Oryzias latipes: one gene and its partners. The protein of the gene in region 2 interacts with the protein of the main gene of each other region in a pairwise test. Links are inferred from orthologs where the notes say so. Each region holds a gene or a part of one and is shown on either strand. Other genes may lie near its edges.

The links.
Region 1: the proteins of mcmbp (region 2) and phosphoribosyltransferase domain-containing protein 1 interact in binary tests that used the Homo sapiens proteins (3 or more experiments, as listed by UniProt). The two-hybrid records come from large-scale screens. The link is inferred for Oryzias latipes from reciprocal best matches to the Homo sapiens genes MCMBP and PRTFDC1.
Region 3: the proteins of mcmbp (region 2) and asl interact in binary tests that used the Homo sapiens proteins (3 or more experiments, as listed by UniProt). The two-hybrid records come from large-scale screens. The link is inferred for Oryzias latipes from reciprocal best matches to the Homo sapiens genes MCMBP and ASL.

Annotation. Positions count from the first base shown.
Region 1 is NC_019875.2:25,188,893-25,194,147, reverse strand, and holds the start of phosphoribosyltransferase domain-containing protein 1, read right to left. Parts: upstream 3,323-5,255; 5' UTR 3,163-3,322; coding exon 3,115-3,162; intron 2,944-3,114; coding exon 2,837-2,943; intron 773-2,836; coding exon 589-772; intron 239-588; coding exon 173-238; intron 1-172. UniProt on the Homo sapiens protein: Has low, barely detectable phosphoribosyltransferase activity (in vitro). Binds GMP, IMP and alpha-D-5-phosphoribosyl 1-pyrophosphate (PRPP). Is not expected to contribute to purine metabolism or GMP salvage.
Region 2 is NC_019873.2:29,883,831-29,888,850, forward strand, and holds the start of mcmbp (mini-chromosome maintenance complex-binding protein), read right to left. Parts: upstream 3,532-5,020; 5' UTR 3,379-3,531; coding exon 3,321-3,378; intron 2,683-3,320; coding exon 2,591-2,682; intron 2,522-2,590; coding exon 2,381-2,521; intron 2,299-2,380; coding exon 2,257-2,298; intron 2,184-2,256; coding exon 2,094-2,183; intron 2,019-2,093; coding exon 1,895-2,018; intron 1,817-1,894; coding exon 1,671-1,816; intron 1,602-1,670; coding exon 1,504-1,601; intron 1,433-1,503; coding exon 1,260-1,432; intron 1-1,259. Other genes in the region: sec23ip (SEC23-interacting protein), read left to right, coding at 3,945-4,077, 4,637-5,020. UniProt on the Homo sapiens protein: Associated component of the MCM complex that acts as a regulator of DNA replication.
Region 3 is NC_019872.2:8,457,898-8,462,975, reverse strand, and holds the start of asl (argininosuccinate lyase), read right to left. Parts: upstream 3,323-5,078; 5' UTR 3,180-3,322; coding exon 3,165-3,179; intron 2,943-3,164; coding exon 2,748-2,942; intron 1,182-2,747; coding exon 1,098-1,181; intron 884-1,097; coding exon 827-883; intron 722-826; coding exon 624-721; intron 531-623; coding exon 453-530; intron 371-452; coding exon 293-370; intron 208-292; coding exon 155-207; intron 61-154; coding exon 1-60.

The DNA.
Region 1 (5,255 bases), on a different chromosome or scaffold from region 2:
TTTTTCTACAGGTTAGAGGACGTGGCAGATTGTAGAGAAGACTGCCCTCTAGAGGCGGAAGTGTCAGCTCATACACAGCCGGGATCTCTGGCTATGTGTTACTGTGGAGCTCATGGCAGTCTGCTTCAAACAAAAGTTATATATCTTTAGATTTATATATAGAAAAAAATACCTTCCCAGATAAAAAAGACAGATCTTCTGCTCCGAGAATGTGAAGATCTTCAGTTGACTGGTCATTCTGGGAAGAAAAACATGTTTATTTCAGGAAGTGTTGCAATACCATCAGCAAGATAAAAAGAAAAAGACAACAAATGCCTTTGTATACTTAAAAAAATGTTACATCTAAAATCTTATGTAATACTGTTTCCTCCACCACAGGAAAACAACTCATTCAAGGTCAAAATGTATAAAAATATCCCTGTAGTATCTATAACACTACAGTCATCTGGCTAGGTCATGGGATTCACAGTCACCATGGATGATAACCACATGCGTGAAAAGCGGCAGGCCACTCCCACACATTTTTAACCCATGATCATTGGATGTCAACATCATCACTTCCTGCCCTGCAGCAGGATGAAAGCTCACCAGGTAACTCTTCAGGCGGATGAAGTGAACTCTCATGGGAATTGTGTGGTCGGAGTTGCAGCTGAGAGCTTTGATCCTGTCCACCAGGTCGGCGCAGAACTGGTAACCTCCTTTCAGCACGCACAGAACCACAATGTCATGGTCGCCCAGGTCATCCATGATGTTCCGAGCCAGGCGCTCCGTCCTTGAAACGACACAACAAAGAGGCTCTGCAGCAGGAGTTCCCAAAGCTGTCCAGGTTATTTCATAAAAATGTGACATCAAATGGCTTTAGAGCCTTTTAAAAAGGTTTTTTGTTTTTCAAATTCCAATTTCTTTTGTATTTTTTCATGAGCGCCAGGAAAAAAAAATCTATTTTTTTAACACATTTTTGCACTTTATGAAGTAGTGTACATCACAAGAGTTTATGTAATTAGGTTTATGCAGGCAGAACAAAGAAATCTATGGGAAGACAGATTGTGAGAGGGGAAAAATAATCCAATCCATTTTTAGGAACTGAGACCATTTTGTTTCATAACCATTTCCTCTTTAGATATTTTATTGTTTAAGAAGACATAATGGAGACATAATGATTCCATTAATAAAGAGTTTCACTAAAGTTCCTAATAGTAATAAATTTACTTGTTTTGTTGTACATTTCCTCATTATTGCAAAGTGTTTTTTACAAAATGTGACACGTTTGAAAAAAAAAACCTCATCTGTAGCAGTTAAGATTAGGTTTGTGCATGGCAGACAAATTAAACATTAGCATCTCTTGAATTTTGTTTGACATACTTTGATTTCTATAGTATTTCATTTGTCACACAAATAAGTTAAAGATATTTGGTAGATTGTAATTTCTGTTAACAAAAAATAGTATTTTTAAGTCTAATACAAGTAGTCTATTCTAAAAGTGGTACTTATATATTTTAATTATTGTGTGATTAAAATTTTCAAATTTAGTCTGTAAAGTATTCAGTTAGTATACTTTCTACACACTCAACATTATACTTGATATACTTATACACAAGTATACTTCATAAAATAGACCTCAAGTGTACGTTTTTTTTTTACCTTTTGCAAAGGTTTATAGCTAAAATGAGGATGGAGTGGTGAAAAGTGAGGAATCTAAACTAAAACTACTTTTTAATAGCAGTTTTTATTTTAGAAATTGTAAACTAATGTAATTAGGATTTTTTTAATAACTTCCTCTACCTTTAAGGTTTACTTTTCTTTCCCAATCCTGAATTCTAGCAGGTTATTTCTAAACAAAGTGAGTAAGCTTTTACTTTTAACAGATTTCTTTGTTTTAAAAGCCTAAAAACGTTAAAGTTCCCCTCTGATCCCCTTTTGATCTATTTTCAAAGTGTTCCCTTGTTTTTTTTAAAATCATAAATAAAAAAAAACGTCTTTTGTTATCTAGGACATAGTTTCTGCAGAGCAGCAGTAGTTCATGTGAAGTTTACTTCTGAGTGACCACTGGCACAAAGCAGGCCTACCCTTTTCCCACCATCCCTTTTGTTTACACTCTCTCCCACTGGCTTACAGCCCCTCACAACCCCATCCTAACATTTTCAGTCCAACAGAAATGCAGAGCACTATTGCAGCCGTGCAGTTTTTGTACCAGATTCCAGCTCAGACAAGGAGAACAAAGACGTGCATGGATCTATTTGTCTTCAAGTGGATGCTTTAGAATGGAGCAGAAGTATGTGAGCTTGTGGCTTGCTGTCATAGGCCCTACGTCACACCTACAAGCTTTTTACAACTGCATTTTTGTTTGCTCCTGATACACAATGATTTGAATAAAGAAATACTCAGAAATGCAATTTTAAGCTTACATCTTCCGTCAGGAGAAAAATGCTGTTGAACATGTTAAAAACACTTTTTTTTTTTTTTGGAGTGGTTGTTTAAACTGTTGGAAAAACAGTTTATTTCTTTTGGAATTGGTGTCACATTAGGAACATGCATGTGTGGAATGAGGAGCAGGGCTGTTCCCTTCAAATCATATGTGAAAACTTGTCTGGCAGTGCCATCCCACACATGCATGTTCATTTTAAATGCTGCCCTATGGAAAAAGAAAATCTACAACAGTTTAAGGATTATTGTAAAGGTGATCTACATAAAACAAACTTTACTTTTGGTGCATTTTACTACACAGGAATTAGATGGCATCCTATAAAATCTTTGGAAGACACATGGAGCTATGATGTAACCTCACAGAAGGCCAAACATCTGGGAGGTCATCTGACAGGCCTCCAGAGTTTTGTACCTATCCATGATGACGCCATGCGGAATGATGACGCAGTCCAAGTCTCCGTAGTAGTGCGCTGGGTAGCTGAAGAGGTCCAGGCTGTAACCTGGCCAGTCGTCGTGAATCTGAGAGGAAACGCAGCAGAAAGCATTAGATCTTCAGTCTGCATCTTTGCAAGTTTACTGTATTTTTAGTTTTTTAAAGGTGCAAACTTCTACAGTCTACACGTGGCGCCACCCCCTGCAAAACTGCGCAAACGCGTTCATTCACTTCTTCGTTTCCTCTCGTTAAATTACCACAATGCCCTCGCTTTTGCTCTCGGCCCGGACAGAAACTTCAGCCATTTTGAAGAAGAAGAAAAAAAACCCGCTCTCGTTTCAACCAAAGTGCTGCGAGTCTGTGCGGAGGGGTTTGACCTGGTCGGGAGGAGGATCTGCGCGGGGGAATGTGGAGCACTATTGTGAAACCATCCGGGAGTCCCTGCCCCTCTGCAGTGTCACATGCGGCCACCAGGGGCGCTGTGACACCACAATTCCTCAGAATGGAGCGGCCGAGTCAAGAGAACACGCTTTCTTATCTTAACACAATAAAAACATTTCTTTCTTAAAAGACCCCAAAAACAAACAGTTACTGCACTAAATTCTTATCACCTAATTTTTAAAATGTGCCCCTGTTATTATTATTTGAATGCCATGTTAACATTGTTTTCATCATGTCTGCAAACAGTTTTTTTTCAATCTGCTTCTTAATTTTTTAGTATTTAATATTAATTTAAACACGTAAAAGAATCTGTTGTTTTTAAACAAATACAACTATAGAATCATCTTTGAGCAGGTTTGATGCTCTTAATTTGACATAAGTCTTCAAAATTCTTCCCTAATATTGGAAATTTTGAATATAAAATTCTATCTATCTATCTATATAGATTCAATATAGATAGATAGACTTTACTCATCCCACAATGGGGAAATTCTCTTATCTTCAGCAGCAAAAAAAAGACATTCAGGAATTCAAACAACCAAAAAAAGGTGGTGTTCACAGAGGATAGTGACCTTCAGAAAAAATATATATATATATATATATATATATTTATATATTTATATTTATATATGTTGTCCCTTCTTTTTACTTTTTAGTAGGATTTACACTTGTATGTAAACTAAAAATATTTACATCAGCATGTAAAAAGAAGGACTATACAAAAATGTTCCCGTTGTACAGAAGATGTAAAATAGTACATTTATGCTTTATTGCCTAGATCTAAATAAATCTTAAAAATTAATTCAAATCTGGCTCCTTAAGTAAAAATAATTGTGTATTTCTTCAGACAAGGCAAGGCAAGTTTATTTGTATAGCACAATTCATACCCAAAGTAATTCAAGGTGATTCACAAAACAGAAAAATACATTAATATCACAATACATCATAGAAATCATCAACGTAAAATTTACTTTAAAAGAAAAGAAAAAAAAATAGAAAATTGATTTAAAAAGAGAGGAAGGAAATGAAAGAAAAGTGCAGATAGGACCTTTCAGTCATATACACGGCTAAACAGAAATGTTTTAAGTCTAGATTTGAACATGAACACAGAAGAGGCCTGTCTTACGACTTCAGGGAGGCTGTTCCAGATTTTAGCTGCAGAATATTGAAACGCTGATTCCCCTTGTTTAGTTCTGACTCTGGGAATCAACAGGAGGCCGGTCCCTGAGGTCCTCAGAGTACGAGATGGTTCATATGGCACTAACATGTCAGAGATGTCAGGACTCGAGCAGCAGCATTCTGGATGTACTGAAGCTGTTTTACAGCTCGTTTGGAGAGGCCGGTGAGCAGGCCGTCACAGTAGTTTAACCTACTGGAGACAAATGCATGAACAAGTATCTCCAGTTCTGGCTTTGACATTATCTTTTTGATTTTGGCAATGTTTTTCAGATGGTAAAATGCAGCTGATGTTACTGACTTGATATTAATTAACATTAGCTGTTGCATCACACTGTGCAATGTGATGGTGTTCTTTGCAAAGCCAGAACACCAAAAGACTCACTAAAAAACTATTTTTTTTGAGTGCTTCTGGGAGCAGTAAATCAAAACATCACAGGCTGCATTTAATTAGTAAAAATCATTAATATTAAGTTGCTTTTTAACTTTCAGATTTGCTTGGCGTGATTTAGGTCGTTTTGTCCCCCAGAAGGAAATTCTGCCCACCTAGATCTCCAAATTGTCTCTAACAAACTCACATCTTTGGGTTAACATCACCATCTAGTGGGAGGAAAAAAAGACAAATTCTTTTTCTTTTCTTTCCCATTTTTTTTTTTTTTTGAAAGAGGGGACATTGTTTCTTTTGTTGTGTAACTTAAAAATCTCAGAATTGTCACATTTGGTTAAAAGCTATTGTGTAATTCTGCGAGGCAAACAAAAAAAGCATGTTGCAAGCCCTGTC
Region 2 (5,020 bases):
GGAGGGTGGAGAAGGAGGGGGCAGACGTGTAAGAGGTGGAGCGGGGGGGAAGGCGTGTAAGGAGGGTGGAGCAGGGGGGGCAGACGTGTATGGAGGGTGGAGAAGGAGGGGGCAGACGTGTAAGAGGTGGAGCGGGGGGGGCAGATGTGTAAGAGGTGGAGGAGGGGGGCAGACGTGTAAGGAGGGTGGAGAAGGAGGGGGCAGACGTGTAAGAGGTGGAGCGGGGGGGGGCAGACGTGTAAGGAGGGTGGAGCGGGGGGGGGGGCAGACGTGTAAGGAGGGTGGAGCAAGGGGGGGCAGATGTGTAAGAGGTGGAGCGGGGGGGACAGACGTGTAAGGAGGGTGGAGCGGGGGGGGCAGATGTGTAAGGAGGTGGAGCGGTGGGGGGCAGACGTGTAAGAGGTGGAGCGGGGGGGCAGACGTTAAGGAGGGTGGAGAAGGGGGGGCAGACGTGTAAGAGGTGGAGGGGGGGCAGACGTGTAAGGAGGGTGGAGCAGGGGGGGCAGATGTGTAAGAGGTGGAGCGGGGGGGGACAGACGTGTAAGGAGGGTGGAGCAGGGGGGCAGATGTGTAAGGAGGGTGGAGCAGGTGGGGGGCAGACGTGTAAGAGGTGGAGCGGGGGGGCAGATGTGTAAGAGGTGGAGCGGGGGGGCAGATGTATAGAGGTGGAGCAGGGGGGGCAGATGTATAGAGGTGGAGGAGGGGGGGCAGACGTGTAAGGAGGGTGGAGAGGAGGGGGCAGACGTGTAAGAGGTGGAGCGGGGGGGGCAGACGTGTAAGGAGGGTGGAGCGGGGGGGGGCAGACGTGTAAGGAGGTGGAGCAAGGGGGGCAGATGTGTAAGAGGTGGAGGGGGGGGGCAGACGTGTAAGGAGGGTGGAGCAGGGGGGGCAGATGTGTAAGGAGGGTGGAGCAGGTGGGGGCAGACGTGTAAGGAGGGTGGAGCAGGGGGGGCAGACGTGTAAGGAGGGTGGAGCAGGGGGGGGGGCAGACGTGTAAGGAGGGTGGAGCAGGGGGGGCAGATGTGTAAGAGGTGGAGCGGGGGGGGGGAGACGTGTAAGGAGGGTGGAGAAGGGGGGGGCAGACGTGTAAGGAGGGTGGAGCAGGGGGGGGGGCAGATGTCCTCCAGGTCAAACGTCTTGAGTTCCTGCGTGATGCTGATGAATTTCCACGGAAGCGACAGAATTTACTGGTTTTGGTGTTTCGGCGTTTTCTTCTAGTCTGGAATCATTTCTGTTTCTACAAAAACACGCGTCCTTACAGGCGCCGTTGTCGTCCGAGGTTGCGTGCGGCAGCAGCGGGTTGTTGTGTTGCAGCGGTTTGGCGTGGAGCACGTGAAGCCGGGGAACGAGCGAGGCCGGCGGGCTGTGCACACGCTGCTCCTCCGCCGTCTCCATGCCCTCCGTGGGGTCCAGGAAGGACGAGGAGGCGTCTCTGCGAGGAAGAAAGGCGGTGAGACGGGCAGCACGCAGACAGGGGGCGGGGCTACGAAGCGAGGGCCTCACCTCTCCTCCGCCAGGGCGCTGAGAGCGGGACTGACGGACAGGATCCCGAAAACCTCCAGGGCGTCGTTCAGCTTGAAGCTCTCCCAGTCTTCGTACACCTGCCAACGAGCACAGCCTGAGGATCAGGGTTCCCACCGGAGCCACCAACGCGCTCGTCCAGCTCCAACCTTCACCAGGCAGGCGGGGCCCCTCTCTCCTGGGAGGGGGAAGTTGAGGTCGAGGTGGGATGCGGACGCCGCCTGGGTGGGAGGAGCCTCCGTCTCTTGACGCTTACAGTCGGCGTTGCTCTGCAGGTCCGTTGGACCCTGAAGACCTGCAGAAATATTTGGAGAACGTTTGAGGGGGGAGGACGCCTAAGGTTCGACACCCAGCAGACGGCGAAGACAAACACCTGCGTGAGCTTGCTTCTGCGGCTGCGTGTCCATGTCCTCGTCCTCCTCGTAGCTGCGTTTCTGCCTGCTCGGCACGTAGGAGGTGGACGCCACCACGCGCGCCTGGCTGCTGCCCGCATATCCGTGCTCTCAGGTTAAGGAACAACACACAACTGTTCACACTGTCATCAGAGAACCTGATCCCTGATCCCAGGATATGTCCTTCACCCACAGGTTCTCCCCAGGAATGGGCACACAGTAGAAGGTCTGCCGCTCTGCCGTCACGGTGTTCTTGGAGTTAAAGTCCACCTGGGATTCAAACCAACAGCTGAGCTGAAGCGGCTGCACCACCTTTGAGGACAGCAGCAGGATGCAGACTCACCCCACATTCTGCCACATCCCTGTACTTCCCACAGTGCAGCATCTGGGGGTCAAACAGGACAAATGAGGGGGAGGGGGGTCAGCTGATGCTAGAGATGTGGGGGGGGGGGGGGGGGCACACTCACTTTAGCATCCGTGGGTCCGTCCACAGTCTCATACACTCCCATGTAGAACTCCGGGTCAAACATGTCCTGGATGAAGCAGCGAAACTTCACCAAACTGTTGGGCTTCAGGTAATGCAGGGGAACGTCGTTGAGAGACGGAACCTGGTCCAGAAAAGGACAAGGTCAGAACCGGACGGCCGGTGAAGACGCCGTCTGCAGGACTCTCCTCACCAAACTCTGAGCGCTCTTCTCCTTCAGCTGCTCCTTAAAAAACTCCACCACCTCCGCCTCCCACCCGGGGGAGGAACCCTTCTGCGCAGCCGCTGCAGCATCAAAGGAAGACGTCATTTCCGGCAGCAAATGAATGCTGCTGAAGGTTTAAACTACGGTTTGCATTTTATATTAACATGTGTGAATGTGTCATTTTATTCGATCGTTTAAAAAAAATGTTAAAATAACAAACACATTGGCATTAAAAATGAAATAAAGTAAATGTTTAATGAACTTCAAGATTGTTGGTTTCGTTCTTCATGAAGGAATTCGTCATCATCAGAGACTGTATATATGAAGTCACTTCAAAAGAACCAGTATGACAAAACAAAAACGTCTTTAGATCTAACAAAAAGTTGACGAACCCCGAACGACATTTCTACAGTCAGTAAAGGTTTCCGCGCGCCCGATTCTCGTCTATGTCCACCGACTGTGTCAATAAAGTTTTAAACTGATGCACCGCGGGCAGCGGCACCAGTGCGTCAGTTTCAGTGTCTTTGTGTGAAATGTAATAATAACCACCTGGTTTATTCCTTTCTTGTTGCTGTTTTGCATTGTTGTGTATTGAAATGTTACATTTAATAAAGTTTGTAAAGGAAAAAAAAAAAGCTCCATGTGAGGGCGGCTGGACGCGCGCGCGGCTAACGAGCTAGTCTGAGGCGTTAAGTGTTTGTGGAGGGAAGTTTCTCACCAAACTTCTCTTCAACAACACCGAGAGGTGCGTGAATCCAGTCCTGCGTGGAAAGCATCGCTAACCGGCCACTGAACCCGTGGAATCAAAGACAAACGTGCGAGGAAAACCCGCGCGGCTTCACTTCTCCGATAAGTTTTTCACTCACTCGGGATTGCAGAAGCGAGGCGCGAAATTTGCGTCACTGCGCACCAAGAGGGGGTTGGTTTGATTCGAGAACCGGAGTAAACCGGAGCGCGGAGCCACAAGCAACTTTTTGCTTTTGTTCACCGCCCTAAAAACTGGTTTGGATTCCGAAGTCGTTACAAATTAAGTAGAAATTTGTTATCTCTCACGAGATTTTACTTTGTTCTGACAAAAGAAGAAAAAAGGTGCAAAAAAAAAACCAAAGGAGTTTGAATCATCATCCGGGCCTCTAGATGGCAGCACCAAAAACATTGATCCCCTCGGGTCAAGCCAATCGGGTATGTTTCGAAGATTTATAAAACATCTGCTAAGATGTTTACTGAAATCTAGTGTCGCGTGAGTGTTGGAGATCGGGGAAAACTGTGACGTCAGGAGACGTTTCTTTCGCATTTACTGCCAGCCTGGTCCGGTTGTGGCTACGTGTAAATCCAGCTGAAAATGGCAGATAGAAAAAATAACAGTGGTCCCGACAGCAGCGCGAATTTACTCTTTAGTGCCGCTCCAGACTTTAGCTTTAACCTGCCTTTCATGCCGGTGAGTCAGGCGTCGGGCCCGGCGGTGCTGTCAGGAGGTGAGCGGAACCGCGGACGGAGGTCCGAATGTTGTCAGGGCGAGAGCTAGCTAGCTAAGCTAGCCGGTTAGCTAGCTGTGCTGCTTCAGCCTTTAAAAACCCTCAGATTGAGAGAAAAGATGAAAAAGTGACGCGTTTTATCTGCAACACTGGATCTGCTTTTGTTAAAAGAAAATGAGTCAGTTTAAACATTTTTAGTGAAGAGTTGTAAATGGATGAACTTTGTTCAGATTTAAAACAATGTTGTTGTTAAAATGCTGGAATCTGTCTTTTAGAGATTTATTTTATTTATATATTATACATGTATTTTAGTGAAGTCAACATGCTTATTGCCTGAAAACCACTCGATAACATCCTGTTTGATCGTTTCCACTTAGGAAAGGATCACACAGGATGTCATGGTGCTCATAAAAGTTTAGAATCATATGGAGAAAGCTGGAAATGTTGTGGACGGCGGTGAAGCTTCACTCCTGAAGTTTGATGTTTAGAGAAGCCTCACAGAAACCCTGACCTGCAGTTTCAGTGTCAGAAAACGTTGACCCGTCTTTGTGTCCATCAGAAGACTCTACTGACGTTGGAGAAGAAGACAGTTTCCTGGGTCAGACCTCGGCCAACGGTCCGCCGGCGGCCTCCTCCACCTTCAGCTACTTCTCCAACCCCGTAACGACCTCTGACCCCTTTGCCAGTATTGGTCAGTCACCATGCCCGCCAGCAGGACGCTCCTCGACCTTAACCGCTGCTGGACCCGTTTCTTTTCCCAGCAGCATCGCCATGTCTCCGCCATCCACAGCTTCACAAATGAACCCCCCTCCCTCAACGTTTGGCAGTGCTGTTTACCAGAGTCCGCTGGGACGACAGACTCCTCCCCCTACAACGATGACCCCGCCTCCTGCTCAGATGCAGCCGCAGCATCACAACCCGTACCGCCACACGGCGTCCAGCA
Region 3 (5,078 bases), on a different chromosome or scaffold from region 2:
CAAAGTCTCTCTGGCCTGTGGCGTCCATGCTGTTCAGACTGATTGCATCAAATCCCAGCTCTGCAATTTAAAAAACAAGAACATTTTGTATTTCTTCTCATTAGTTCTAAAGAAATAAGCAGCAATTAAACATAAAAAACACAGCAGCCTTGACCTTTCCGAAGAAGCTCCCTGTCAATGTCAAGCGGCGTCCCTGCAATCGCACCACTGAAAGAAAAAGAAATAGTTTTTTTTGTTACTTGAGTATGTCAGCGGATCAAAACTGCTGTCAGAAATCGCGTTCACAGCGTGCCTGCCCAGAGGTAAGACATTAACTCTTTTCTTGATCTCCAGTAACCGGTCCACATCTCTGCTCAGAGCGACAGAATGACTGTGGAAACACGTACCAAAGAATTTAATTAATTAAAATAGTTTTAAAAAAAAGGGCGTGTAGATGTAGACTTCAGAGTCACCTTAGAATCCAGTGGCTCCATCGGATTGGTTGAGCCCTCTGCATGTGGGTGTATCCGGGGAAAAGAACCTCGATTTCCCTGTGATGGAACCAGGAAATGCAGGTTAACACCAACAGTTTCAGTAATAATATACAGAAGATGAGTTTCCATTTGCGAGTCGGTCTTAGTTACACGGATGCCCGCTCCACCATGGTCGAGATGAGCTGGAGAGAATTTTCTGTCAGGGTGGTGATGGCGTCTCGCATCCAGAGTCTCATATCAGTCACCACCTGGTCCACCAGAACACAAAGTGCAACTCTAAAGCTTTTCTATGAATTTATATGCTAAACAAACCTAAAAGGTACAATAAAAACATGAATAAACTAAAATAAAACCTGATCATTTCTGCTTCTGCCTGTGTGAAGTTTTCCTGCAGGGGCACCAATGAGCTCCTGAAAAAAAAGGGCAACAGCATAATTAATATTGTACACATTTCATAAAGCAAACGTCATAAAGTAACGTTTACATTGAAAACATGGGTTTTTAGTTTAACAAACATCCAGACTTTCGCTTAGACATTAGTGGAGTAACTCACAGCAGGCTGTGTAAAAGCTCAATGGCAGATGTGTGTGAACAGGATGTATGCAATGGACAGCTGCACATCACCTTCAACCGGCGTTCATTGGCAGTGTGAATGTCTTCATCTCCAGGTCTAATGACAAAGTTACCTTTAGACCACTCCTCTGAAATCTGCAGGGGGGGGGGGAAACATCAAAGATGGTCACTTTAAGTGGACTTTAACACAAAGCCTGTAATCAAAAAACAAATGTTTGGGTTTGAAGGGAAACAGTCTATGGAACTGTTCACTTGTCCAAACAGAACAGTAGGATGGAGATGACATGTTCAAACCTGCCCTGAATAAAACTGAAGCTGCAGCTGTCACATGATGACAGTATTGTCCACAACACACCCAGCAGAATGCAGGAATGCTACAACAGGGCATTTTTTACTGCGGTCATCTCCTAACCACCTGAGAGTATGCAGTGATGCACTAAACCAGTGTTTTTCAACCTGTGAGCCGTGAGAGATGGTTTTAACACAAAGCCTGGAAAAAACAAATGTTTGTGTTTAAAAGTTGAAGGGAAACAGTGTACTGAACTGCTGACTTGTAAAACAGAACAGTAGGCTGGAGAGGACATGTTGAAACCTGCCCTGGTTGAATCTGAAGGTGCTGCTGTCATAACGACACTCAGCAGAATGCAGGAATGCTACACCACGGCATTTTGACAGCTGTCATTGCCTAACCACCAGAGTATGCAGCGATGCACTAATGCACCTCATTTGAGTAATAAATGTGACAAACACAGGGAAATAACAATTCATTTTAACAACTATTTAATTCATATCATAATGTGCAATTGACGATACGATTCATAGTTAATATCGGTTCATTTTGAACAATCCAATTCACTGACCTAAAATCAATCTAGGGACGTCTTTAGCCAAAGATTCAACCAGTGGGACTCTGAGAAATAACTGGGTACTGAACAGTGCAGGTGAAGATTTCCAGATTTAGTGAATTTCTTACAAGATAATCAAGTCTAAATTAAATATGTGAACTAACAGACAGATAAACACATTAATCAATTCACATTTTAGTTTCACAAAGTCACTGTTGTTTTTCCACATGATAAAGTCATGATACCACACTGTATGGTCACATGTCTCACATGTCTCACTGTTTTCACACATTGGACTGGAATGATAGCTTGATCATTTTTTGATGTGTTGACCAGTGTAATGACAGTCATTTTACCTTAAAGTAAAAATAAACCTACCACGCCTCAGTCCAAATGTTACTCTCCAAGATCGATTAAAAATCTGTTTATTTCATTTCGAAATTATTTTTAACGTAAAGTCGATTTGATTAATAAGTTAATTAAGATAGATCAATCTGGCTGGATAAAATGACAAATCGGTTAATTGTTAGTAAACTAAAGAAATTGCCAGAATGTCATCCAAATAGGTCCTGTTTTCACACCGAGTAGGTGGATATAAAAAAAGACTGATTTATTTCTGTTTATTTGATTCTTATTCAAGACGCTTTGACAAAACATAACTTTGATTTTATTTCATTTTTACATATTTAATTGGTAATGTGCCTTGTGATTTTTATCAAGGAAAAAGTGCCCTGTCTGGCTCAAAGAGAGAGAATAACGCTGCACTACAACCACAACTGAATGAATGAATGAATGAATCCTCAGGACCGGTTGATTCAGTGATGGAGCCAGCAGCAACAACAACAGACTACTTCACCTGATCCATCCCACGTAAGATCTGCTCCTTTTCCTCACTGCTGACCAGCTGCGCTTTTTCCAGCGCTTTGACATAAGCTTTGCTTCCTCTGATATCTGCGTCCCACATCCTCTGATCGTAACCGATGGAAGCGTTGAACTTCTCCATGATTGGGTCCGTGTCTCCAACGAAACGGCCTCCCCAAAGTTTGTTTCCCTTCAAGACAAACGCGACAAATTAACACAATGACTGCACACTAAACCCGTTCATGTTACTTTAGGCGGTTAATTCTTAGCCACAGAAACGGATTTCGGCAAAGGAGAACCAGGTTGATCGTTTGTTATGTTAGCAAACAGCTGAGCTGCTGGTTAAACAGCAATGAACATACGGGAAATGTAAAATAAAAAAGGAAGATATAACGTTTTCAATTGCACCTACCTCACTATTGGACATTTTATAAATCGGCAGGTGTCCTGTTGTAGAGGAAAGTAAACAGTCAAAACTGTAGCGTCAGCAGTGCGAACAACCAGGGTTAACTGAGGCTACAAGCGTCTCTTTGAGGAGCGCCTCGAGTCGAGGACACGTAAATCTTCCTCTGTTGCTATGCAGAATGTCGTCACAAATCAGGGCATGTGTTTCCGGTTTAACCAAAATAAATTTTCTTAAAATTATTATTATTATTATTATTATTATTATTATTATTATTATTATTATTATTATTATTATTATTATTATCGTTGTTGTTGCTTGACTATTGTCGTCTTCTATTATCAGTTTGCATCAGTTTTTTATTTGGTTATTGATAAGTAAAATCCTTTTCTTGAATACATGTCATATACTTTATTTTTTTAAAGATTTAGTTTTTATTAAAATAGATTTGAATTAAAAATGAACACATTTACCAAACCTCAGCTCATTTTTCATACAGTGTTTAGACAGACTTCTTCAAACTCCAAATACTTTGTTTTTTAATGGATTAGACAAATAACATCTTTGACAGTAAAATCTAAATATTGGTGAAGGTTGACATCTATATAAAAAAAAACGCCCTTCTCACCCTCCGCGGGTGGTTTATCCTCCAAGCTCGGGTCCTCTGCCAGAGGCCTGGGAGCTTGAGGGTCCTGCAGTATCTTAGCTGTTCCTAGCACTGTGCTTTTCTGGACTGAGAGGTCTGAGGTCTTTCCAGGTATCTGTTGTAGCTACTCCTCCAGCTTGGGGGTTACTGCCCCGAGTGCTCCAATTACTACAGGCACCACTGTCACCTTCACTTTCCATGCTTTCTCCAGTTCTTCTCTGAGTCCCTGGTATTTCTCCAGTTTCTCAGGTTCCTTCTTCCTGATGTTCCCATCGCTTGGTACTGCCACATCCACCCCAACGGCTTTCCTCTGTTCTTTATCCACCACTACAATGTCTGGTTGGTTCGCCGTTACCATCCTATCAGTCTGGACCTGGAAGTCCCACAGGATCTTTGCCCTCTCATTCTCTACCACCTTCGGAGGTGTTTCCCATTTTGACCTTGGGGTTTCCAGTTCATATTCTGCACACATGTTCCTGTATATTATTACCTGCAGGAATAATAAGATGGCCAAAGGAAGAGATACAGACCACGGATGTTAAATCACGAAAGCTCCTCACCATGCTTGGAGGGTTCCATCCCAAATCCAGCACCCTGTGACTGTATGCTAGCCGAGGAGGCCGAAGACTAGTGAGTGTAGAAGCCAATATCCAGGATGAAACATCCAAGATGCATGAGTACATCAAGCTCAAGGCCCCAACTGACAGTGTGCTCAGTGAATGTCTCAGGCAATGGAGAGCAGAGGATACAGTGCTGGAGGACAGATTCTCCTGGGAGGACAAACCCCTGCATGGGATGTACCACCGGACCATAACTGAAGTGGCTGATATCTAGAAGTCCTACCAATGGCTAGAAAGGGCTGGCCTATAGGACAGCACTGAAGCACTCATCCTGGCAGCCCAGGAACAAGCCCTGAGCACCAGAGCAATAGAGGCTGAGATCTACCAAACCAGACAAGTCCCAAGGTGTAGGCTGTGAAAAGAGGCACCTGAAACAATCCAGCACATAACTGCAGGGTGTAAGATGCTGGCAGGGAAAGCATAAATGGAGCGCCAGTGGACACAGGAGCTTGCAAGTCCATTGTCCAGACAGACTTCTCTTCATTGGCACAATCTTTGTCCTGAGACTTCGCTTGCCTCGCGTCATCCTTCTTGTAGACACATGGGTCAAATACATCACTACTAGTATTCCCGTGTTTGAATAAAACACAAAGTTGTAGCCTTCTGTTGGTATTCACAATGTAGTTAGGAGAGGGTTGTACCTGGGTGAAGGAATTC